4 linked regions of the Cricetulus griseus genome follow. The protein of the gene in region 1 interacts with the protein of each later gene in a pairwise test. Links are inferred from orthologs where the notes say so. Each region holds a gene or a part of one and is shown in the gene's direction. Other genes may lie near its edges. The genes, in order: Cryab, Lbh, Crybb2 and gamma-crystallin C.

Region 1 (6,077 bases):
CATTACTTGTTTGTGATATTCATGACATTAAGCATCCTAATGGGGCTTTTCCAGTAGGTTTTGTCTCTCCCTATACAATTTTCAATGGCTGTGTATATTCCCCTCATTCAATGAAGGAATAAAGTAATGGTTATTGGTCAAACCATATTATAATCATAGGTCTATTAAAATCTCCCAACACAAACACCAAAGTTTTTAAAACAAAGTTTATCCCCCAGGAAAAAACACTGGCAGAAATTCATACTGCCAAAGACAATGTTAATATAACAACCAATACTAAGTATCTTGAACCAGGTGTTGAGGGACATGCCAGCAACTCCAGCACTGGGGAAATGGAGGTAGAATGAATAGGAATTCAGTAATCCTTTGCTACATATGGAGTTCAGGGACAGCCTGTGTTAGAAACAACATGCCTGGGATGTGGGTCAGTGAAGTGCTTGCTATGTAAGCCTGAAGATGCAATGTCCAGCACCTACTTAAAAAGCCAGGCATAGCAGCACCCAGCTGCAATCCTGGCACTGGGGAAGCCGAGACAGGCAGATTTCCAGAGCTCGCTGGCCAGACAGCCTAGTGGAATCAGTGAGCTCCAGGTTTTGTGAGAGACCCTGTCTCAAAAAGTAAGGGGAGAGTAACTGAAGAAGCCATGACATCAACTCCAGGGCTGTGCACACATAACACACACCACACACACAACAAACACACACACATAACACACACACACACACACACACACACACACACACACACACTATAGCTTTGAAACAAATGCAGAATAGCCAAGGTGGGTTACCAATGTCAGTAGCTAAAATAATAATTCAGTGAAAATCAACCATGTCAATACAAGAGATTGCTTTAGCATCACTGACATGAATCAATTCTGTGACTTCTTTGCCAGGCATGCTGAGGCCAGGACTCTAGGTGGGCAATGTGATTGAAGGAGATTCGGTCACACACAGTTATATTTAGTGACATATGGATTGAAGAGGGACCAGCAATAAATAGAGGGAAGCCTTGATTCAAAGGGCAGGGTTTCTCTCTGCTGCTGGATTTCTCTATAATTAACCAATTAAGGCCATCTCCCTGTCTCCTGTGGGAGTTTTCTCTGCCAGGGAGAATGAGGTTGCAGCCCTAACCACACAGACCTATAATAAACCATCTGGGTGATGAAGGATAGCTTCAGATATACTTAGATTATTCCCAAGAGGTGGCTGAATACATGTGTGGTATTCTTAGTCTCAGTAGAAATAATTTCTCAGAGGAACTAAGTGTATTCTGACACTGTCTTTTAAGTCCCCAGTTAGTCTTATCACATGACTCTAGCAAAAGAGATTGAATGTTACTGGGCCTATTAAGCAACCTTGAGCCTGGAATAGATCAAACAAGGCTCCCACCAACCATACCAATTGCTTCACTTGTCCTGTTATTCAGTAACATGATTGTGTGATAGTATGGGGGTGGGGTGGGAAGAAGAAAATGTATTATATGAGAATTTATGTTAACTAAGGAATCATTCAAATTTAACATTAATATTTATATTATTTAGAGGTATAAAACCACAGTGCTATTTTGTTTTTCAGAGTTCAAATCTACTAAGGACTCTACTACTAAGGAGAACATGAGTCTGCAGAGAGAGCAGTTTATGGGAAGAGTAGACAATTCAAATACCACAGGAGCATATTACTGAATGGCTCTTAACAGAAGAATTGATTGCAAAGTTGTCTGACTGTTGCTTTTAGAAATATTCTATTACCAGCACAGGAAGAAATATCTTTTACTCCCCCTTCCCCTTGTTTTGGAAGAACTGTGCTGTTATGCAATATTTATGTAGAGTCATGGAAATGATAGCCAGGCCACTTCATTTTCACATGGGTCTTCAGATGAAGATTTAGAAATGAAAGACCAGCAGAAAGCAAAGACTAGGACTTGGCCCTGTGCCCGTCACCTTCTAATCAGAAGGTGGGTCCTGACACCAAAGAGCCGGGTTAAAACAGAGAAGGGGGAAGGGCATTGGAGGACCAAGGGACTTTTGCCACAACTGATGAATGGGTAGGATTTACACAGCTAAGGACCAGAGAAGGCCCTGGAGCAGAGAGTGAGAAGAGATGAATGGGAGTACTGGAGGCACTTAAAGAGGTGTGTTTCCTGACTCTTCTGTGTTTCACCTCTGGGTCTGTAGCTCTTTGTTAACGATTCCCTTACATGTGTTCAGTGAGAAGTGATGCGAAGATGAGGAGGCCAGCCATGCAGGCAGGATACAAGCTCTGCCCTTTGATGAAGGTTGTAACACCCCTCAGCCAAAGGAAAATTCCAGCACAGTTGGTCACACTGGCAGAACATTTCCGTTGGATTTTTTTTCTCTGTCTGTGTCAGGAACAAGGCTGGGGCACAGGGTGGGAGGAGGGCAGAACTGGGGTAGGTTCTAAGGCAGGTCACAACTCAGGGCTTCTTAATTAGAAACAGCGATCAAGGAGGGAGCCTGTCGTGCAGCTGGAGACAAAAAAAAAATCCTACATGGAAATTCATGAGAATGGTTGGTTGCCTCTAGGGGAAAGGTTGGGAAGGGGGTGGAAGCAGGGAATGGCACAAAAGACTCTTCCATCTTGCCTGTAACGTTAATATTTAAGAAGAATATCAGGTTAGGGTGTAGCTCAGTGGTCTAGCCCCTAGTCATATGCAAGGCCCTAGGTTCAGTCACCAGTGCTGGGGGTGGAGGGTTATATTTTCATATGTTATCTGACTAAAAACTGATTTTAAAAGCACAAGTTGCTGCCTTAAAGGGTAGAGGAGTAGGGCAGTGGTAGAACACTTTCATAGCATGCCCAACCCCCTCCCCCAAGAGATCTTAAATTTAAAAATTCGATGGAGAAGGGAGAGGTGCACAGAGGGAAAAGTGGGCAGGAAGCCATGACCAATAGCCTAAGCCTTCCTGGCTGCTGGGCTAAGGCAACCAAAAGGATGAGTGAGGAGGAGTGGGGGCAAATGGAATGGCAATGGTCTCAAACAAGAATCGACTGGATCACAAAAGAAGCAAAAGGAAGAAAGAGGTAACAGAATTCTGAGAGAAACTTGTGAGGAGAAAATGAGCCTGAGTCAAGCCTAGCTCACCTTTCCTGTTAGATTGAGGATCCCCCACAGCAGTTCTCACAGAGGGGAGCAAATATTGGCTCCTGAAACTGGGCCTGTGACCCAGGTTGCTCCTCTCAAACAACCTTGTCCTGGGTGGTGGAGGACATAACGGCGCAGGACTCAGGGAATTCACACGTGGAAAGGACCACCCGCAGTCTCCTGCCCTCTCAAACTTTCTACCAATGCCACACCACCACACCCCTCCCGTGACTCATCCGGTTAGCTCCTGAAATAGAAAGAGCTAGCTGCCTCCTGTTCAGGGCTTCCCTCAAGGATGTCCCTGGAGAGTCCCCAAGAGGCGTGGGGACCACCTTTCCTGCAAGGAGATGCCTTCTTAAGTCTGTGGTCCTCACTGTCCTCGGCACTCAGGAAGGTAATCGTTCAGCTTAGAGAGAGGCCCACCGCCCTTCTGATGCCCTCAGGTTCCTGCATCTATCTGCACCGCACCCACCACCTTGGCTCTGTACCCAGGCTCTTCAACTCTGACGTATGATGTGTTCTGGGCTCCCCCAGAGGATGCCCCCCGCCCCAGGATTCCCTTCCGGAGATTAGGCGGGAGGCGTGGGGTGACGGGGAGCTGGGGGTGGGAGGAGCAGGGCAGTTACCTCATTGAAGCCCTCCTGCAGGACGTCCAGTAAGTTCCCGCGGGTCAGGCAGGCTAGCATTGTTCCTGCCGTGGGGCTCCCCGGGTGGGGTCGAGCCGCCTCCTCCTCCTCCCTCTGCACACAAAGGCAATCGGCTCAGCTCCCTGGGATCTCTCCTGAGTCCCGCATGCCACTTACTGGAAACCTAGAGCCGAGCCAAACTAGCGGCTTGCACTGGGCATGCTCGCGCGCAGGCCGCAGCCGGAGGGGCCCTGGCGCCGTGTTGGTTCCTATAGAAACAGTCAGGCGCGCACGGCAGGCACCGAGAGGCAAGCGGCCAGCCCCGGGCAGCCCGTGAGTGCGGGGGAATCCGAGGGCGCGCGCACACGCTCCGGACTGGTGCGCGCGCACGCGCGCGCGCGGAGAGCACTCACACACGCGTACACACCTACACACCCATGCTGACACAAGTGGGCTTGCCAGCACGAGCATATGCTTACAATCACTACACTGCAGGTTTGGAGACGGGCATCCCCGCGCGTGCGCACGCACACGCAGGCGAACACACACACACACACACACACACACACACACACACACACACACACACATTCACTCTGCTCTCTTAAGGCTGCTAGCACCTCACCACACACACACACACACACACACACACACACACACACACACACACACACACACACACACACACACACACACACACATTCACTCTGCTCTCTTAAGGCTGCTAGCACCTCACCACAAGGTGGATGGGAAAAGGAGTGAGTCACAGGATTCCCCCACCCCATTCTTCAGCAACCTTTTTCCACATGTGAGGCAACCTAACAGAGGAAGTAGAAGGGCAAGAAAAAAAAAAAGAGGAGGAATCAGGAGAGAGCGGCTGGGGTGGTGGTGGTGGTTGTTGGGGATGTAAGTAATTGAACAGTGCTAAACAAATCATAACATCACAACAAAAACATCAAAGATGATTCAGGATGGCCATGGTTTTACCACATGTATCTCTTCTCTCTTTTCAAAATAATTGCTGTAAGGGGAAAGGTGGGCAAGGTGGCTCAGGGGATAAAGGCTCTTGCAGAAGCTTGGCACCTGAGATCAATCCAGGAACCATGTTAAAGGTGGAAAGGGAGAGCTCACTCTTCTCTGGTACATGCACCCATATACACATCATGCTGTCTCACACATTAATAATTAATTCTAAAAATAAAATAACTGCGTGGTGGTGTACACCTGTGATCCTTTACTGGGAGCTCGAAGCAGGGAATCGGAAGTCATCCTTGGCTGCATAGCCAGTTTCTGGTCAGCCTAAGCTATGTGTGATCCTTTCAATAACATATATATATATATATATATATATATATATATATATATATATATTTCAGGCCTGGCACTCTAGAAGCAGAGACAGGAAGGTCTCTATGAGTCCAAGGCCAGCCTGGTCTACATAGCAAGTTCCAGGCCAGCCACAGATATATAGTGAGATTTGGACTCAAAAAAAGAAAGGCAAACCTTATTTTAAGGGGTTTTTATAAGTGTTTTTAATTGAAAGAAAGCACCCAAAATGCCCTGGTACATTGACAGGAAGTGTAACAGGACTTCTCCCTTCTGCGACCTGGCTGAGGTCACCAACTCAATTGTTTATTTTTAAGAACACTAACCATTTGCATGTTCAGAGAAAACTGATCTTTGAAAAAAAAAAGAAAGAAAATCAAAAGTATGTCCACATCCCCTCCCATCTTGTGGTCCTAGGTAGAAAGGAAGAATTTACACAGTGCTAAGACCCAGAGAAGTCAGAGCCTTGTCCAAGGACACAGCTGCTCAGGGACTCGCAACTCAATAATCAAGGAATTACAAACCACTTTATAGCCATCCTGGGTGCACCCCCCTCCCCGCCCCCAAACCCCATTAGGACAGCACGAAGAAAAGTCACTAATGAGCTTATTGAGTCTTAGCTAACCTAATAACCTCCTCTTCCAGGCACTGGAGAAAAGGAAAAACCTTACTTGGGGCAGCCTGACTGGATATCTAAAGCTGCTGAAAACCAAAGCCTCCTGGAGAAATGATGGGCCTCTGACCACAACAAGCAGGAAGCAGAGAGTCAACGTGCATTGAGCCAGTTGCTCTGCTGGTTGAATCCCGTGGGTTCCACTCTGGCTGAAGCTGGGAAACAGCTGTAACACCCAGTCAAACTAACTCTGAGCAGCTGGGGTAAGTCAGAAGACCTCTCCGTCCTTCACCATTTAGCTGGGGAGTGTCACTGCCAAGATTCCTCGCTGTTCCTTCAGTCCGTGGCAGACTCATAAACCAGTGCTTGAGGCAATGGAGCCCTTTATAAACAGAAGCACAAAACTT
Region 2 (6,077 bases), on another chromosome or scaffold:
CACTATCCAAGGCTGATTGTCTGCTCCAATTTAGTAACAGGTGAAATTCAGCTAAAATGTTCATTCATACAGTTTCTCAAAGAGTAATTATCTAACATTTGTTCAGTGTCTTCCGATGTAGGGCATTTTTCACAAGGCCAAGTCACTACTGTAGAAGGAGACCTCATTTCACACCCTCTTCCCCAAAAGGGCTAGTTGACTTCCATTGTGTGTGGTGGTGCCAAGAGGGTTGACACAGCTTTCTAACTTTTGATAGCTCCACTAGGTAATAATCACAAATATGTCAAGTACGTCTGTGACACAGTGGTACTATAGCCTTTCATCCCAAGCCTTTAAGGGATTGCTATCCAGAGACACGGGTGGAGGCTTCCTTCTGTGAATCTCAGGGCCTGGTTCAGGGACCAGCCTCATAAAATTGCCAGAAAGTCTCAGCCTAGAATCTAGCTCTCCAAACATTGGCTCCCCAGGTGACATCATGTCACATGACAGCCAATGGCACTGAGATGTTTTCCACCCTATTAAAAGGTACAAGTGACCCCTCTTAATAAGGCACCCTGGACCATCTTCCATCAGCACCTATTCATAAAAGCTGGCCCTCCACCAGACCCCACCCCCAGGTCCTGAATAGTATGAACAGCTCTAGATTTATCTCGAGGAGTAGGGACAGCCCCCTGCATTTTTCTTGTTACAGTGCTTATGAAATACTGCTCCTTCAGAAAGTCCAGCTTTTACTCTGGTTGAATATGTGATTGGGGGAAAAAGTACTTACTGCAAAAATTGTTCTTACAGATTTATTTTATGTTTGGATTAATTCAAGGGAAGTGTAGATACTGAAAATTATGAGGTCCCTTTTCCCAACATCCTCATGGCCCTGCCACTAATACCCCCTCTCATGAATCTAGCAGTCTTTTACTAGGGAAGATCAGTGTAGTTCCACTTTTCTTTCACGGTTCAGACTTATTTCAACTCGCATTTAATTGTGCTTAGTTTTTGACCACAGCTCTCCCTTTCCCCAGCCCCTTTATGCGCATGGGTCAAGGTTATGAAGCTGTTTTACAGGAGTAATTGAAACAGAGGCCACAGAGGGGCAGCGCTGGGTACCGAGTCCTGTCTTCTTGGCTCTGGGGCCGCACAGCAGTTTAATCTCCAGGACAGACACTGGATCTGCAATTCCTGGGCAGTGTAGGACTCAAGTCTCCTGGAGATCTTTGTGTTTGCTGTCCGAACGGCCCTGGGAGCTAAGGCTAGTGGGGTGTGCTTGCAAGCTGCGCACTCTCACCCCCTACTCCCAACCCAAACGGTGTATGCGTGCGTGCACGATTGTGTGTGTGTGAGAGAGACTCCGTGTGACTGTGTGTGTGTGTGTGTGTGCGCGCGACTCTGTGTATGCGCGACTCTGTGTGCGCGCGCGAGTCTGTGTGTGTGTGCGCGCGCGCGCGTGTGTACACGAAAGCGCTCCCGCGCAGTGGAAAAACCCTAGTAAGACACCACATCCTTTCTCCCACAAACAGAACCCTCCAAGGACCCCAGGACTGAAGACTTTTCGAGGAGCCAACATGCAACCTTCTTTCCCATCTTTTTCTTTTCCCTGATCGCGCCCGGGGCGCTGCTATGATCCCCAAGAGAGGCCTAGTTTGCATGGATGACCAGTGAAGAGGGTCCTGAGATACGGGAGTCTCAGAGAAACGCGGCGTCAGGCGCTGGGGTGGAGGAATGACGCCCTCCCCAAGCGAGCTGACACGTCCCGAGTGGGCCCCAACGTCTTCCTCACGCCCACCCATCCCTGCAATGTTTAGAGTCCCGGGTGTGCGCGGGGAAGGGGCTGCGGACACTGCGGATCTGTGGACAGGAAGCCGCGTTGACATTGAACTCCAGCTCGGGAACGCGCGTGAGCCGTGGGGAGGGGGCCGGACTCGTAGCTGCTGCGAACCAGCTCAGGCGGGGTGCAGTGCCGGGCTGGTCCCCGCCGCCGCCTGCGGGAGCTGCGAGCGCTGAAGCCATTCATGATTTTGGTGACGTTATTCTAAGAGTGGGCGAGGGGAGGCGGAGCTGTTCTCGGACAAGCCCCGCCCCCGCTCCTATAAATGCGGCTTCCCGGGCTCTTTGTGGGACCCGGAGCTCAGTGGAGAGTAGGGAGCTTCGTCTGCACTGCCGACGCCGCTGGCAGCGGGGCTGTCTGGGGAAGTCGGACCCGCGATCGCCCTGTACCCGCTCTCGGTTCTGCCCGCTGCTCTCTGCGCCCATCATCCTCATTCGGGACGCAGTGACCGTTTTGGGGTTTTTGTGTTTTTGTTTTTGTTTTTGTTTTTTTTAATCACAAGGGCGTGGGTCAGCCTCCCCTAGGACTTCATGTCTGTATATTTCCCCATTCACTGGTGAGTATACTGCGCCTGCGGTGGACGCCGGTTTAACTCCGGTGGTTGCGGGGCCCCGCAGCCTCCTAGTGCCGGCTCCGGGTGCGAGGCCAGAGAGTGGCACGGACACCCAGTGCTGGCTAACCCGCCGCCTCAGCCCCTGCAGGAGTCGACGTCAAGGTTGCAAAGCTGGGGGTTGGGGGAGGCGGTGCTGAGAGCATCCAGACAAAGGAAGTGAACTCGGAACCTTCACTTAAGTGGCGGCCAGAGGGTGTGGATATGGTGGCGATGGGTGGGGGAGAACCTGGGTCCCCGCCTGAAGCCCCCTAAGGAAACCCTGTCCGCAGAGGGTGGCAGGAGATGAGTCCTGCCTGGTGCAGGGGGCTCTGGCTCGCCCGGCCCCTCCCCTTTTCCTTTTTGTTTGCACGCAAGTCTCGACGTCGAAGACGGCTGCAGCCGGGTTGAGCTGATGCAGCCGCCCGGGTTGCAGAGCTTGGCGGGGGGGGGGGGTGAGGCTGGAAGACGCCCTCCGCACACGCAAGCCACAAGCAGCAAGGTACACGCTGCACCTTCTCAATCCCTGCTCTCCGTGGCCCCTAAAATCCAACGCGCCTTTGTGGAGGGCCCGGGTTGGGGAGGAGGGGCTCCCCCAGTGCCAGATTGGAAGAAGTCGGTCACAGCTGGGTGGGGGGCTGCAGAGGTTTGCCTCCAGCCGGGAAGAATCCGGTTGTGGGGGATCAGATCCCGGGAGGGACCTAGCTGCTGGGACGTGCGCGCCAGCTGCTTCTTCCTTCCTGCTGTGGGGTAGAGGAGGGGCGCTACAGGGAGATGAGCACCCGTGGTCCTGGAGCCCGCAGGTGCTGGCCTCAAAGAGCCGGTGCTAGGTCCAAGGCAAGCTCTGAGCCCAGGGAAAGTGGGCCCTAGTCACGGCGCTGTTCTGCTTAGCCCAGGAACTCTGAAAGTTCATGTTTCTCGTTTTAACTTTTTGGGCCCAGCCAACAGTTCCAAGAAAGAACAGAACGCCGCTAGAAACCTGGTCGCGGCCCTGTGGATACTCTCCTGATTCCCTTCTTTGGGGTTTGGAGGCATCATTTCCAGACCCGGGAGGAAACTGTGAAAGTCTAGCTTCTAAAGCTATACTTGCCCATGTCAGTCACCCTCTCTTAGTGTCTCTGCTTATCCCCGTCCCACCAGTTTGGTTTTGATTAGAGAGAGCACTGCGTTTCAAAAGAAAGTAAAATTCCCCTACAATTGGAGCTTGTGTACCCCCTCATGTTCAGACAAGTCAGGCATCTTATGGGTGAGGTTTTGAAGAGTGGTGGAGGTGTGCCCCCCACCCCCCACCCCCCGCCGCTCAAAATTCAATAAGGTAGATAGATGTTCAGAGCCCTCAGGGATATTAGCCCCCAACTCACCCATTAAGGCTTACGATTATTTTGTTCTTTAGCACTTTCTACGATGTCTGCAACATTTTCCCCTCCAGACATTAACTATGAGCTATGCATTGTTAGCATGTTGGTAATAAACAGAGCTTCTGCAACTCAGAGAGGTTCTATGATCTGAAAAAGATCACACAGCTCTTAAGTGGTGAGGGCTCTCAGAACTGAATGCTTTTATTGCTAGGGCCAAATACCATTTCTACTCTATCTGGTACAAAAAAAAAAAAAAAAGATTCTTGTCTTCCTGTTTTCAGAAATGTAGTCTCTCTAAAGCTCTCTAAAGCCTGCCCCTGCCTTGCTTTTTCCCCCTTTTAAAACCACGTACACAGGCGTGATAATGAAAACACTGGGTGTTGTTGTGAGTACCTGGATTTGGTAGGTATGTATTTGGCACTATGCATACTGAACCCTGTGTGTGCCCATGGCCTGTGCAAGGATAATAGACTGTTTGTACTCTGCTTAGAGAGTACAAAGTACTTTCACATGTCAGCTATTGGTGGACCAACTTGGCCCCTCTGGAAATTTCCTTGCAATCAGAATAGGTGTATCCTTCAGGCTTTTAATCCAGGGGGATGTTTTTCATGCTGGGAGCTAGTAGCAGCAGCTGCTAGGGCTACAGAAGGGGGTAGGATGGCAGAAACTTGGGGAAAAGCTGTCCCCTTGGGGTGGGGCATTTTGCCTAAAGGGGCATCAGACAGAGACAGTGAAGAAGGCTCCATGATTAGACTTTGTCTCCCTGAGGAGGCTGGCCTGTTGTTGTTATGTAATTCTACTGTGCAGTTCCCATTGGAAATTCATGGGCAAGATTCCTTTCATTCTTAGTGGAAGAATGACGGGAGACCTAAGCTGTGTTAGTTTCATAGAAACACACACACTCAACTACCTATCGTGTGTGTGTGTGTGTGTGTGTGTGTGTGTGTGTGTGTGTGTGTGTACTCAATGTGTGTGGTTTCTAGTTTAATAGAAAATCCAAGATTGCTTTTGTGTAGGGTTTGGTGGTGGGGGAAGGAAAAGTTGTGGAGTGGGGACTTTGACTGTCTCTGGAGATGAGCAAGCCACAGAGCTGTGGGTTTGAAGGTTGCTTCCTCAGGTGAAATTGTTTTGCTGTGAGCTGTTTGAGCATCTCTCATCCTATCTTTAGCAGTCCCCTGATCTCAGGGCCACAAAGTTGCTAAGAGGAGAAATGTGCCATATGTTGACTTCTGGTCTGAATTTCTTTGCAGCACTGACTATCTGAGATCTGCTGAGATGACTGAGGTGATGATGAACACCCCATCCATGGAAGAGATTGGCCTCAGCCCCCGGAAGGATGGCCTTTCCTATCAGGTGTGTTCAAACTTTTTAGGGCCTTGTGCTTTTCTCTGGGAATGGAAGTAAGCATGGTTTGGGGAATGCCAATATCACCTGTAAGAGTTTGAGGATCCCAGTATCACCTGTAGGAGCCATGTCACCTTGAGAAAGTCCTTGACTGCCAGTGAGCCCCGGTTTTTCATTTGTAAAATGAGGCAGCAGTGGTCTGAATCCTGTAGGATTGTGATGAAGAGTGAACAGGATGAGAGGGTGGGTTTAAGGCATTTATATATAGTGCCTGGGACACCTAGGGTCAGTAGACAATCACTGACATCATTATCTAGCCATCCTGATTCTCCCAATAGCAGCAGAACTCTCTTCTCAGCCAGGCCTTATGCAGTAAAAATGCAGCTGATGGGGAAGAGTGGTCTGATAGGAGAATCGCCACCTGTGTTTTCAGAGTGATAGCTGACTGGCAGGTTCAATGTTCATGTTTAAACTACACAGAGCTGAAGAGGACACTTTCTTAGGGATGCTGATACCAGAGTGTAGTGTAGGGATCATCCTGTCTAGTGGAGATAAATACAAACCACAGCAAAAAGAGAGTGGGAGGCACCCTTTCTTGCTCTTTAAGTGTGGGGAAACCTCAACATCACAGGGAAAGTGGTGGATATCACCTCAACGAGCAACAGAGCATTTAGTTACCTCCTGGAGAGACAACTGATTTTGGATCACCTGAGAGTCCCTAAATTGCCAGTTTTGGAGGAGAGAAGTATCTGTAAAAGAATATTTTGAGACCCAGGTATTATGTACAGTGGCCAGCCTAGGCAAGAGCCTAAAGTACAAAACAATTTGTACACATTAGTTTGTCCATTTTCTGCTGTAGCTCCCAAAGGAACACCCACCCACCTTTTATACTGAGGCCCTAGCCCAGCTCTGTTTCGAGACTTGGATCTCTACTCCTGATGGTTTTGATTTTCTGATGTAATCATGT
Region 3 (6,285 bases), about 70 Mb from region 1:
CAGGGACTTTCCAGGCCTATCAGTCAGATTAGCAGACTGCCATTCACATGATTTCTGAGAAGCCAGTTCCCTGGGGAGGAACAGAATCTTGACTGACTTTATTGTGGTGTGCGTGGGCTTTGTCTCTGTAGAGTTGAGTAGACCCACGCCTGATTTGGGACAAGTAGGAAACAGCATGGACAGGGGACTGAGACACACAGTGTGTGTGTGTGGTGTGCATGTGCATGTTTGTGTATTATGTGTGTGTGATGTGCATGTGTGTGTTGTGGATTATGGGAGGGTGTATGTGGGATGTACATGTGAGTATGTGTACTATGTGGTCCCCCAGAAAACAGACTCCTGTCTCCTCTCTGGGGGGCTGGGAAGCCATACGGAAGCACTGTATCCATTAAACATGGGCCTTTTCTAATTCAGTTTGATTTGATCTGATTTGGATTGTTGCATCAGCAGAGAGGCTTATCGGGGTGCAGAAACTTTTCAGTGTGTATGTATACATATGTGTGTATGTGTACATGTGTGTGTTTGTATACTATGTGGTGTGTGTGTGTGTGTGTGTGTGTGTGTGTGTGTGTGTGTGTGTATCTGTGGCTGTCGAGAGGATGGAAACTGGATGAGAGAGGGAATCAGCTAGCTTGGCCTCAGCACATCTCCTCTCTTTCTTGACCTTGGATTGAAGGTCAAGACAGAGCCTGGTCTGCAGGAAGACATGCACTCTCGAGGATGTGAGCCCAGGACAGTGATGGGCCAGCAGTGGAGTTCTGAGAGACTCTTCTCCCACGTTGGGACCAGGATCCAAGGCACATCTCCTGAAGGACAGTAGGTGTGGGCAGCCAGCATCCATAGAAGTTCAGTCTTCTCAGCCAGCCTCTTGTCCTGCATTGTCCCTGCAGGACAGGAACTCAAACAGGGCAGGATCTTGGAGGAAGGAGTTGGTGCAGAGGCTATGGAGGGGAGGTGCTTACTAGCTTGCTCCCCATGGCTTATTCATCCTGCTTTCTTATAGAACCCAAGACCACCAGCCCAGGGATGGCCCCTCCCACAATGAGCTGAGTCCTCCCACATCAATCACTAATTAAGAAAGTGCCTTACAGTTGGATCTTATGGAGGCATTTTCTCAATTGAGGTTCCTTTCAGATAACTCTAGCTTGTGCCAAGTTGACATAGAACTAGTCAAGACAGTGCATGATGGATGCATGGATGGATGGATGGATGGATGGATGGATGGATGGACAACAGGTAGGTTGGCATGGGAGTATGTGGATGGGTGGATGAATGAATGAATGCTGGTCTCTTCCTGAAGTCCCTCTTTGCTTGCTTGCCCTACAGACACTGGGAAGGCTTCTGTCTGCTGTGCCCCAGGGCCTGGTGATTGCATCTGTGAACCTGGCATGGCCCCGTTCTGGCAGCGGGATGGCTGATGCATGCAAAGTGGGCACAGTCTTGCCCAGCCGCCTGACACACTGGCGCAGCCGAATCTGAAAGCTAATGACATTATTGTGTGGAGACACAATGTCTATGGGCATTTGCTGACCCAGGCTTTGGTGTAGGCTTAGCCTGCATTCTCACCCTGCTTTCCGCAGGGATGCAGCAGTCACCCATCTTGGCACCAGCTCCCCTGGGGAAGGTATAAATACCACCTCCCACCAGCTGGGCTTCACGGCACTCACCGGGGCTGGTGATCTGGTAAGGAGGCTTCTGCTGCTTGCTCAGCTCTTTGCTTTTCTTTCCTTCTTGCTGGAAAGCATGGCACAGAGACCAGTACCTGGCCTCAGTTTTCCCTTCTGTTAAGTGGGGAGAGGGGCAGTCTAAGCCCCTCTGCCATGGGTTAGGAAACAACACAATAGACTGACCTGGTGCACAGCCAGCACCTGGAAAAGGCCCCTCCTTTCTTCTGCTGGAGACCGGGAAGGAAGATGTGTCTGGCTCAGGAACCAGAAGTGGCCCGACCTTGACTGTGTCTAGATTTTGGAGCCAGCTTTCTCCTGACTAGTCATTGTGGCTCCGCTGAGCCAGCCTTGGGGGAAACTTGTGAGCTGAACTCAGCTGCACCTGTTTCTGGGCACTGTGACTTTAGTGTCACTAAATCCCACTGGAAATGGCCCTAACTATGTCACCCTGACTGTCCCTTCCTGGGTGCCAAGTGTATTACGGGGCCCTGTCAGATGTACACAGTTGTATGGAGTCCTAGTTCACACAGAGAGAGTGAGGCACCTCTGTTGGTTTCCTGGTGTACAGAGTAGGAAACTGAGGCGCAGAGAGAGGGCAGGACTTATGGGCGCCTGTTCAGCTCCTTGGTGGCAGAGCAAGCACTTGGAATGGATCAGCTGAGTTAAACACCTAAAGGTAGAAAATTTGTTGAACTGCAAGAGGGTGCGGGGAAACCTTCCAACATGATTCCATAGCTCAGGAGTCCAGCAACAGGGAGAGGAGCAGTAGGAGAGGAGCTGAGGGGAGAAGGGGGATTCTTCCACTTAGATCAGGGCTGGATCATAGTGTAGGGGAAGACAGAGCCCAGGTGGCTGCTTCTGGAACAATCTAAAAACCCTGTCAAAAGAGAAGAGGGTTGGGGTTGGCTCAGGGCTCCTACGGCAGCGTCCTCATGCAGCTTCCTCATTTCTTCCAGGTCACCTTGACACCAGAGAGTCCACCATGGCCTCAGACCACCAGACACAGGCGGGCAAGCCCCAGCCCCTCAATCCCAAGGTGGGTATCCTGCTGGAGGGAAGGGCAGGCAACATCTACATGCCCAGTCAACTTCTTCCTTCCTGGTGCTCGTTCTCAGCCCTGTCCCTCGGGGGACTCAGTCTCCCCCAGCTGCACACCTGGGGCCAATTCCCTGTGCCCTTCCCCACCCACCTGAGTGCCCGGCATCAGCTTCAGATTTTAGAGAATTAAATGTCTCTGCTTGTCTGCCGCCCCACATGCTATCACCCACGGGACTCCCAAAGACCTGGCAGAGACTCAGTGCCAACTGAAGAGGATTTCCAGGCCCCCTCCTGCTGTGTGGCCCAGGCCAGTGGCTTAACATCTCTGAACATCAGCCTATACAATAGGGAGCATCAATTACACATAGAACAATTGTGCAGGCCCAGAAACCAGACTCAGCGTCTTACCAGAGAGCTATGTGTCCTCGCTGCCCATGCCAGCTCAGACCGTCTGCTTCACTTTCTGACTCTCACACTCCAGAGGCAGCTTATTCCAGCCTCTCCGAGGCTGGTCACACCCTATCTGGCCCAGCTAAACCTCCTCATTCCATTTCCTTGAGTGAGTGACAGTCAGCAAACTGTCTTGAGGTGGCCTGTAGCCTGAAGGAGTGAAAAGCATTTAACACTAAGTAGTTTAAGGGATCCCCAGAGCTGGAGTTCACAGCAAATAGTGGGTCAGCTTGGTGCTTTAGGGGGGACCTCCATGAGGAGGTGACTGGGGTCAAGTGAGGGAGCAGCCATGTAAAAATAGGGGGCTCGGAATGGTGAGGCCACTGGGGTAGTGGGAACAGCACAAGCAAAGGACCCGAGGTTGCCAACAAGTTGGATGAGTTTGAAGAAAAATGAGACCACCGGGTGCAGGGCACACAGCATTTCAGTACTGTGATGTCACACACACACACACACACACACACACACACACACACACACACACACTGTGATGTCACACACACGGTGACATCACATACATACACAGTGATGTCACACGTTTTATGACATCACAGATGTACAGAGATGTCTCATATATACTACAAATCACACGGGTAACTTAAGATCTTCCAATGGTCACAGTGAAAGTTATAAAAGGCAACGGGTGATTAATTTCCATAGTCTCCTTTGTTAAACAGTTCATTCCCACTCTGCCTGTCTTCAAATCTGTGTTTCCTATGAACAGCACACAGTTAGCGCTGACTGCATGCTCAGGGCCGTGCAGCTAGTGGCTTCTGCACTGGGTAGTGTGTGGTTACAGGGTTGGTCAATAGGAAAGAATCTAGACTCTGTTACTATTATTGCTGTTGTTGTTGTTGTTGTTGTTGTTGTTGTTGTTGTTATTGTCTTCTCTACACCAGCAGCAGGGTTCAGCACTCCTGGGACCCAGGGCTTCTCAAGTGTACGGAGAACCTGACCCTTCCCTACTGGCCCTTATATTCCAGGCTAGGTAATGGCCACTGAGCCCCCTACCCTACCCCGACTTCTAGAGCCTTCTCAATGCCCCTGCAAACAGGTTTACTGGACTGCCCTTCTGGAAAGCACAGTTCCTCCTTGGGCTACACAGAGCAGGGGAACCAGAGCCCATGTCTCCTGCTTCTGTGCCTGGAGGGGTCAGTGACCATGAAGGCTGAACTGATCCCATGGAATCTGCCCCTGAGCCCTCCTGGCCACTGCTTTTACTTCTTTTATCTCACTAATCCCCAGCCTGGGAAACAGAAGTGCTTTCTCTAGCTAGTGCTGACTTAGGGACCCTGTACGTATCCCTCCTGTCTACTTCTTCATCCAGAGGTGGCTGCAGGCTCCCGTCTTTGGGGCTGAGTGGCTAGAAAGGTTCCCTGTTCCAGGTGTGGTTGTAAATGTGTTTAGCTCATGGCTGTGAGGCCTTGAGTGGGTCTCTTCACTCTGCAGAGTCCCAGGATCCTTGTTGGGATTCCACCGGACCCCTGCCTAGGCCAGATGAGGAGACAGGACAAGGCACAGAGTGGGGGGATTTCTAGTAAGATCCATCTCACTTGGGTGGCCATAGGGAGACCTGGAGACCTCCAGGGGTAGAGGCTTGAGGAAAAGGGCCCAGGAATGTGTGTGTTTCCGGGAGACAGCTGGTGTGTGGTGTCTGTAGAGGGGTATCTCACACCTCCTGATTGCCACCTCCTGGGAGCCAAGTGGCATCTGGAATATGGGGTGCGGCACCACAGAAGCAGTGCCATGAGACTACCTTTTGTCAAGATCCCAGGTTTGGTGTGCATGTTCAGTTTGCAAGCTGCCCTCTAGTTTCTGCTATATCACACAAGTCCAGGCCATGTACCTAGCTTTGATCTGTAGCAGATGCACTATGGGTAGCTGGGGTATTGCTTAGAGGGAGTGTGGCTGCTGGATGTGTAGAGTTCTATCTGGCCCTGGTTCTGTCTCTAGAACTCCACAGACATAAAGGAGTCTCTCACGCCTGAGCTGAACCTTCTGCCTGCCATCTTGACAGCTTCCCTGCCCCTGGCTGGTTCTGTCACCCATTTCACTGGCAGGGAAACTGAGGCTCAGAAAGCAGCACCTTCAGGCTCCAAGTCTCCAGCCCTCAGGTCTGCAATCCTGGGGCTCTCTGAGCTACCTGTTCACCCCCTGCTCTTCCCACGGTCCGACTCTATCCCATTCCTTCCAGATCATCATCTTTGAACAGGAGAACTTCCAGGGCCACTCTCATGAGCTCAGCGGACCCTGCCCCAACCTGAAGGAGACTGGCATGGAGAAGGCAGGTTCTGTCCTGGTGCAGGCTGGACCGTGAGTATCTGGGTGGTCTCACCTAGCCAGGGACTGTCAGCCTGGTAATTGAGATGTTGAATTGGGGATATCTAACCTTTCTGTGTTCCTAGGTTGTGTGTGATAGAGGCAGGATTTGGGGTTTGGCAGCCCAGAGGGAGTTTGTGCTTAGGAGGCTGGGTTCAAATCCTGGTTAAGGGGACTTGCAGGCTATGTGGTATTTGACCATTAACTTCCCTCTCTGATACTTGGTTTCCTTTTCGTAGCCAATACCTTTGCTGTCATCCTTCAGGTCCTGTCTCTACTCAAGAGAAAAGGGATGTAATTATGGAGGCTGCCTCTCCCCTCACCAAGCAATGAGTTGCATGAGGGCCATTGTGTCACTCATCTCCCTCAGTCCTCCTTTGTAAATGTCTTATGAGTTTGGGGACACAGTGACCCCAAGAAGTCGGTATACATCTGGTGGTTCAGGAGCCTGTACCAGTCAGGGCCTGAGTGTGACAACATACTTATGTCTGAGTCTAACAGACTTGCACAATTACAGTTATTAGCATGTACAGGGGACTAGGCTCTGCCTCTGTAGAACATGGGTCTTCACCCTTTGAATACTTCTGACCTCATCTACTTTTGCTATTTTGATGGGAGAATTTCCCAAATATTTTAAATATTGGAAATAAGCCTTTGTGTGTTTGATTTGTTGTGTGTGTTGGGACGGGGGTTACTGAGGGTGAAACCCATTGATTCGCCTTTGCAAGGCAATCCCCGATCACTGAGCTATGCCACACCCTTCAAAACTGTTTTGTAAGCTGGGACTTGGTGGTGCACGCCTTTAATCCCA
Region 4 (5,821 bases), on another chromosome or scaffold:
TCTGCCAAGTTCTGAGATTAAAGCCATCCACCACCACTCTCAACCCCCCTGACAAGATTTCTTTTCTTTCATTTTATTTTCATATTTTTTAATGATTGTGGTGGTTTGAAAGAAAATGGCCCCCAAAGGGAGTGGCAATTGTTGGAGGCAGTGTGTCTCTGTCGGGGTGGGCTTTGAGGTCTCTTTGCTCAAGTTTCCCTCAGTGTGACAGTCAGTTGACTTCCTGTTGCGTCTGAGTCAAAATGTAGGACTCTCAGCTCCAGCACCACATCAGCTTGCATGCTGCCATGCTTCCGCCATGATGATAATAGGCTGAACCTCTGAAACTGTAAGTGAGCCCCCTCAAAGAAATGTTTTCATTTATAAAGAGTTGCCGTGGTCATATTGTCTCTTCACAGCAATAAATAAAAAAATAAAACTAACTAAGACAATGATGATTCCTTTTTATTTTTTTATGTGCATTAGTGTTTTGCTGGCATTTATGTAGTGTGAGGATTTCAGATCCCCTGTAACTGGAGTTACAGACAGTTGTGAGCTATTATGTAAGTGTTGGGAATTGAACCAGGGTCCTCTGGAAGAACAATGAGTGCTCTCTTAACTGCTGAGCCATCTTTCCAGCTCCCCCCCCCCCATAAGATTTCTAATGTCTTTTCCAAGTGTCATTTTTTTTTCAGCCACAAAATGGCTCAGGAACCTTTGAGTACACTATCTTTGGTCAGAGAACCAGGTTGACATCCTCAATGATGTCACTCCAACACTATTGTCAATGTCACTAGCATTACCAGTGTTCATTTGCACCAGATGGTGTTATGAATGCTAATGTCTGTCAGCTAAACATCTCAATTGCCTGCCTGTAAACCAGTTAAGTTTATGACTTGTTGCTTCCAGAGAGAGCACATATGCTGAGGAAATAGGATGGTTTTCAGATGGCTGACATTATAAGAGCTGTGTCTAGGATGTACACCTTGATGCTGTGGTTTAAGGAAGCTCTAAAAACTCGGAGGTCTAGGTGGAGAATCTCAATGGGGTAGTGTAGGGGAAGCTGTAGCCACGCCTACTTAGGGGCTGGCTACAGGTGTGCCTGACCACGCCCTTGCACTTGCCTAGCATGAATAAGGCCTTAGGTTCAATTCCCACCACTGCCATACACAGAGAAAGAGTGGAGTGGAGGGGAAAGGAGGGAAGAAGGGGGGAGCTGAGAAATTTGCCAGATTTGACAGTGTGTTCCTATAATCACAGCACCAAGGTGGCTGAGACAGGAGAATTGCAGAATTGCAGTATGTCCAAGGCTTGCTTAGGTTACATAGTGAGACCCTGTCAGAGAGAGACAGAGACAGAGACAGAGACAGACACTGGTCATATCATTAACCTTTGCCCATGTTAGAGGGATGCTAGAACAAAGACAAAGCCATAAATAAGGAAGCAATAGGCCTGGGGCACAAGGGTAACGTGTGTGTGTGTGTGTGTGTGTGTGTGTGTGTGTGTGTGTGAGAGAGAGAGAGAGAGAGAGAGAGAGAGAGAGAGAGAGAGAGAGTTCATTTGCAGAACTCTCCCCAGCATCTATGAGAGCTATATTATATTTGATTCACAAACATGCTAAAATGTATTTTAAAGTAGTAGTTAGTCATTCCAGCTGAGAAGGGTGACATTCAGCATGCTGTGGGTGATATATTGGCTTTGGATTTGTCTTTGTTCAGACAAACTCACTCTGAATAACCTTGTCTGACTTGTACTTACTAAGGCTATTTATATCTAATAGGTCCTGGGTGGAAGTGACCCAACAGTGGCCAAATGACAGAGATGTCCTTTCCTCCTCATTTTTTTTCTTTGCTTTGTTCTTTTCTTTCCTTCTCATCCTTCACTCTCCCACAAGGTAATTCCTGCTCTGAGGGGTGATTTATGGTGTCCCTGCAACGTGGGTTCAAATCTCACTCTTCACAGGAAAGTCTAGGCCTTCTCCCTGACCTTGGAAATGAGGAGCAATACATACATACTTGTCAGTCTTGGACCTCACGATTGTACAAAACTTTCCCTTTGTTCTTAACACAAGCTGACTACGAGGGGGGGGGGACTGATTTTGCATCACAGAGTATGCCCCCACCAAAGGAGAAACTCGTGGCTAGGTCCTGAGCATCACAGTAGAGAAGAGCCACGATTAGAATCTAGATTTGTGTGCTGAACGAACCAGCAAATGCTGTAAAGAAAATAAGTAGGAAGAAGGAATAACGGTGACCAGTTTCTGTCGTACTAGGAAACTAATCAACATTTGCAATATTTGCAAAATTCCAGCCCTCTCGACTCGGGGGGCACTTCTACAAATGTACAGGTTTCCCCCAGACTTACCAAGTATAATAGAATCAAAATGTAGGGGCATGGACTTCAGGTCAAAAGTTCAGGCTGATGTGCTGATAAATTTAAAAAACAGTAAGAATCCAAATAAAACACCCAGCAGCTCGTCCAGGGCAGCGTTGGAACACACCAGAGAACCAAGCGAATCTGCAATCACCGCCACTGAATGCAGCATGGAAAAGCGATCCATAAAAATCCCCTCAGCCCCGAGGGCCCCTTTTGTGCTGTTCCGCTAACGCAGCAGCCCTCCTGCTATATAGACCCGCCGCTCTCTGGCTGGACACTGAACTCACCACGGTCAGCCAGCCATGGGGAAGGTGAGCAGAGCGCAAACTAAACAAAGAGTCGGAGGGACCGGCCTTCACACAAGGAGAAAATGATCTCATCCAGAATTGCTCTTCCTTTACAGATCACCTTCTACGAGGACCGCAGCTTCCAGGGCCGCTGCTATGAGTGCAGCAGCGACTGCCCCAACTTGCAGACCTATTTCAGCCGCTGCAACTCCATCAGAGTGGACAGTGGCTGCTGGATGCTCTATGAGCGCCCCAACTACCAAGGCCACCAGTACTTCCTGCGGCGCGGGGACTACCCTGACTACCAGCAGTGGATGGGCTTCAGCGACTCCATCCGCTCCTGCCGCCTCATTCCCCACGTGAGTCCTGTTTGGCTTTATTTCTTTCTGCCCAAGGGTCCTCACTGTTTTACTGATGTGGGGTCCAGAGAGTAAGCCTTGTCTGTAGAAGTACTTAAGGGTGCCGGGCATTGGTGGCGCACGCCTTTAATCCCAGCACTCGGGAGGCAGAGGCAGGCAGATCACTGTGAGTTCGAGGCCAGCCTGGTCTCCAGAGCGAGTGCCAGGATAGGCTCCAAAGCTACACAGAGAAACCCTGTCTCGAAAAAACAAAAACAAAAAAAGTACTTAAGAATGAAGTGTCTGCCTAAGGGACACAACCAGGAAGACAGAATTATAAGGAAGAATCTACTTAGAAAAAAAGTCCACTTTATAGTTGCTACAATTAGGTAATCAAAACTTTTCTCAATGAATGCAGTCTTATGCTGGTATATGAGACAACTTAGGTAAATGGGAGGCTGCTTGGTCAAGAGAAGGCATTATGCCTATCAGATTGATTTTAACCTATAACGGAATTTCTGATAAGAGAGTTAATTACTGTGGGGTAGGAAACATGGAAAAGTATGGTGATCAAAAACTGTGTAAAAACAGAGACCAATTTTGGAAATGATAATTTTCCTTAATTTTGAAAACCATCTAAATTCTAGATTAACTTTTCACATAAGTTATTTAAGTTTTCTGAACTCTACACTAGCCAGGCATACTGATTCCCTGTAATCCAGGAAGCCGAGGCTACAGGATCTTGAGTGTGAAGCCAGTTTAGGGAATTACAAAATCAGGGGAATGGGACAGCTGGGAATGATGTAAATTCAGGACTAACGTATGAAATTCTCAAAAACCATAAAATGTAAGTTTGAAAAAATCCCATTATAACGATGAACGTATATGTATATAAACATATACAAAAGTAAAAAAAAATACTAATCAACATCCATTATTTATATTTGCCAACATACAACGTAGAATGAACACAGAGAGTTGGGAATTAAGATATTTGAATTTTTGGCTGAAATACAGTTTTAACATGTTAAAAATTCTACCTCCTAGATGAAAAACCGAAACTGGGCATGTAGGAGTTTGTAACGCTTGCTAGCAGATTTATCAGTGCACAGTTCTAAATCTCAGAGGCTCCGATATTACACCGGCAGCTCCTCCCCCTTCCCCCCTCCGCCCAGCCAGCCACAAGTTCTGGAAGACGCTCAATGCCTTTTTCTGCTCTTTCTGTTACCCAAGCAGACTGGTTCCCACAGGATGCGGCTGTATGAGAGAGAAGACCATAAAGGCCTCATGATGGAGCTGAATGAAGATTGTGCCTGCATCCAGGACCGCTTCCACCTCAGTGAGGTGCGCTCCCTGCACGTGCTGGAAGGCTGCTGGGTCCTCTATGAGATGCCCAACTACAGAGGCCGGCAGTACCTGCTCAGGCCTCAGGAGTACCGGCGCTACCACGACTGGGGTGCTGTAGACGCTAAGGCAGGCTCTTTGCGAAGGGTGGTAGATTTATACTAAAATAGGTTAACACTACCATTTTCTCATTTTGGAACCTAATAAAGTATTTAGTCTGTATTGTTGGCAAACCCTGACTTCTGCTATTCTTTCATTGTGTGCGAATCTACCCACCTGTTTAAAGGTTGAGATGAGAGCGGGGAAGTTAAGGTGTTCAAGAACTTTTAAACTTTGAACAAGTCTTAGATGGCTGGGAATGCATGTATGTACCTCAGTGATAGGGCTTTTATACCTGGTGGGGGGAGGGTATGCCTGGTGGGGTGGGGTTATACCTGCCTAACAAAGAAAGGGCAAATCCAGGCAAAGGTATGTAAAAGGGTGACTATTAGGGAGGAGTCAGCTAGCTGAAACTCTTGAAGAACAATATAGTCGAAGTTTTCTTCTAATCTCAGAAGTGGTTGGAGACACAATTTGACAAACAGCCTCTCCAGACTATTTGGGGAATTTTGTTTACTATAGAGCCCAGTATTATGTACCTAAGGCTAGGGCTGGCTGCCACTATCCTTGCAACGTTAAAACCCCCTCCCTTCTGAAACCACTCCCAGGGAGAAAAATTCTTCGCCAGAGTGTCACCCAAGCTAAGCAATCCTCTACTAAGACTCTTTTTCTGCAGGGCAGTGATGGTGCATTTCTTTAATCCAGCAGGCAGAGGCAGGTGGATCTCTGAGTTGGAGGCCACCATCGTCTACCGAGTGAGTTCCAGGATATCTAGGGATACACAGAAAAACCCTGCTTTGTTAAAGAGGAGAGACTCTTCACAAGTCATTCTAGGTTGAGTCAAACTGTTGACTGTATTAGTTACTTTGCTATTCCTGTGGTTAAGGCAGCATGACCTTAAGCAATTTATGGAAGAAAGAACTTATTTAAGCTTATAGCTCCAGAGGGGGAGTCCATAATGGCAGGAGAGGCATGGCAGCAGGCCAGAGCAAAAAACTGAGAGATCCTATCTTCAACTGCAAAAGCATGAACAGGGAGCAAACTGGAAATGAGCTAAGTCTGAAAATTCTCAAAGCCCAGCCCCAGTGACATACTTCCTCCAGCAAGGCCACACCTCCCAATCCCTTCCCTAAGCTGTTCTACCTAGTAGGGACCAAGTGTTCACATTCATGAGACTATGGAGAAGCTTTCTCACTCAAACCACAACAATTAAAGCTAACCATCACAGCTAACTCAGAACCTTAACACTTCCCAAAATCTACCAGAATGGAAGTAAAAAGATCCTTCTGATACCTTTGATTGATGATCCCTGTATATACTTGGCAGGCACCCTTCTGGGGAATTTTTCCCTTGTACACAGTGCTGAAATTAGATAATACATATTGATTTGCAATGTTT

Evidence for each region.
Region 2: the proteins of Cryab (region 1) and Lbh interact in a two-hybrid assay, tested with the Homo sapiens proteins (2 studies listed by BioGRID, with this or other methods). The link is inferred for Cricetulus griseus from reciprocal best matches to the Homo sapiens genes CRYAB and LBH.
Region 3: the proteins of Cryab (region 1) and Crybb2 interact in a two-hybrid assay, tested with the Homo sapiens proteins (2 studies listed by BioGRID and IntAct). The link is inferred for Cricetulus griseus from reciprocal best matches to the Homo sapiens genes CRYAB and CRYBB2.
Region 4: the proteins of Cryab (region 1) and gamma-crystallin C interact in binary tests that used the Homo sapiens proteins (3 or more experiments, as listed by UniProt). The link is inferred for Cricetulus griseus from reciprocal best matches to the Homo sapiens genes CRYAB and CRYGC.

Annotation. Positions count from the first base shown.
Region 1 is NC_048597.1:162,498,188-162,504,264, forward strand, and holds the start of Cryab (alpha-crystallin B chain), read left to right. Parts: upstream 1-2,442; 5' UTR 2,443-2,530; intron 2,531-2,570; exon of another isoform or gene 2,571-3,044; intron 3,045-3,105; exon of another isoform or gene 3,106-3,242; intron 3,243-3,341; exon of another isoform or gene 3,342-3,613; intron 3,614-3,673; exon of another isoform or gene 3,674-3,731; coding exon of another isoform or gene 3,732-3,791; exon of another isoform or gene 3,792-3,868; intron 3,869-3,940; exon of another isoform or gene 3,941-4,064; intron 4,065-5,702; 5' UTR 5,703-5,933; exon of another isoform or gene 5,934-6,077. Other genes in the region: Dixdc1 (dixin), read right to left, coding at 3,732-3,736. UniProt on the Homo sapiens protein: May contribute to the transparency and refractive index of the lens. Has chaperone-like activity, preventing aggregation of various proteins under a wide range of stress conditions.
Region 2 is NC_048600.1:10,685,107-10,691,183, reverse strand, and holds the start of Lbh (protein LBH), read left to right. Parts: upstream 1-2,078; 5' UTR 2,079-2,349; coding exon 2,350-2,375; intron 2,376-5,016; coding exon 5,017-5,119; intron 5,120-6,077. UniProt on the Homo sapiens protein: Transcriptional activator which may act in mitogen-activated protein kinase signaling pathway.
Region 3 is NC_048597.1:92,699,168-92,705,452, reverse strand, and holds the start of Crybb2 (beta-crystallin B2), read left to right. Parts: upstream 1-2,649; coding exon 2,650-2,703; intron 2,704-5,349; coding exon 5,350-5,468; intron 5,469-6,285. UniProt on the Homo sapiens protein: Crystallins are the dominant structural components of the vertebrate eye lens.
Region 4 is NC_048595.1:419,054,841-419,060,661, reverse strand, and holds gamma-crystallin C, read left to right. Parts: upstream 1-2,657; coding exon 2,658-2,666; intron 2,667-2,758; coding exon 2,759-3,001; intron 3,002-4,213; coding exon 4,214-4,489; downstream 4,490-5,821. UniProt on the Homo sapiens protein: Crystallins are the dominant structural components of the vertebrate eye lens.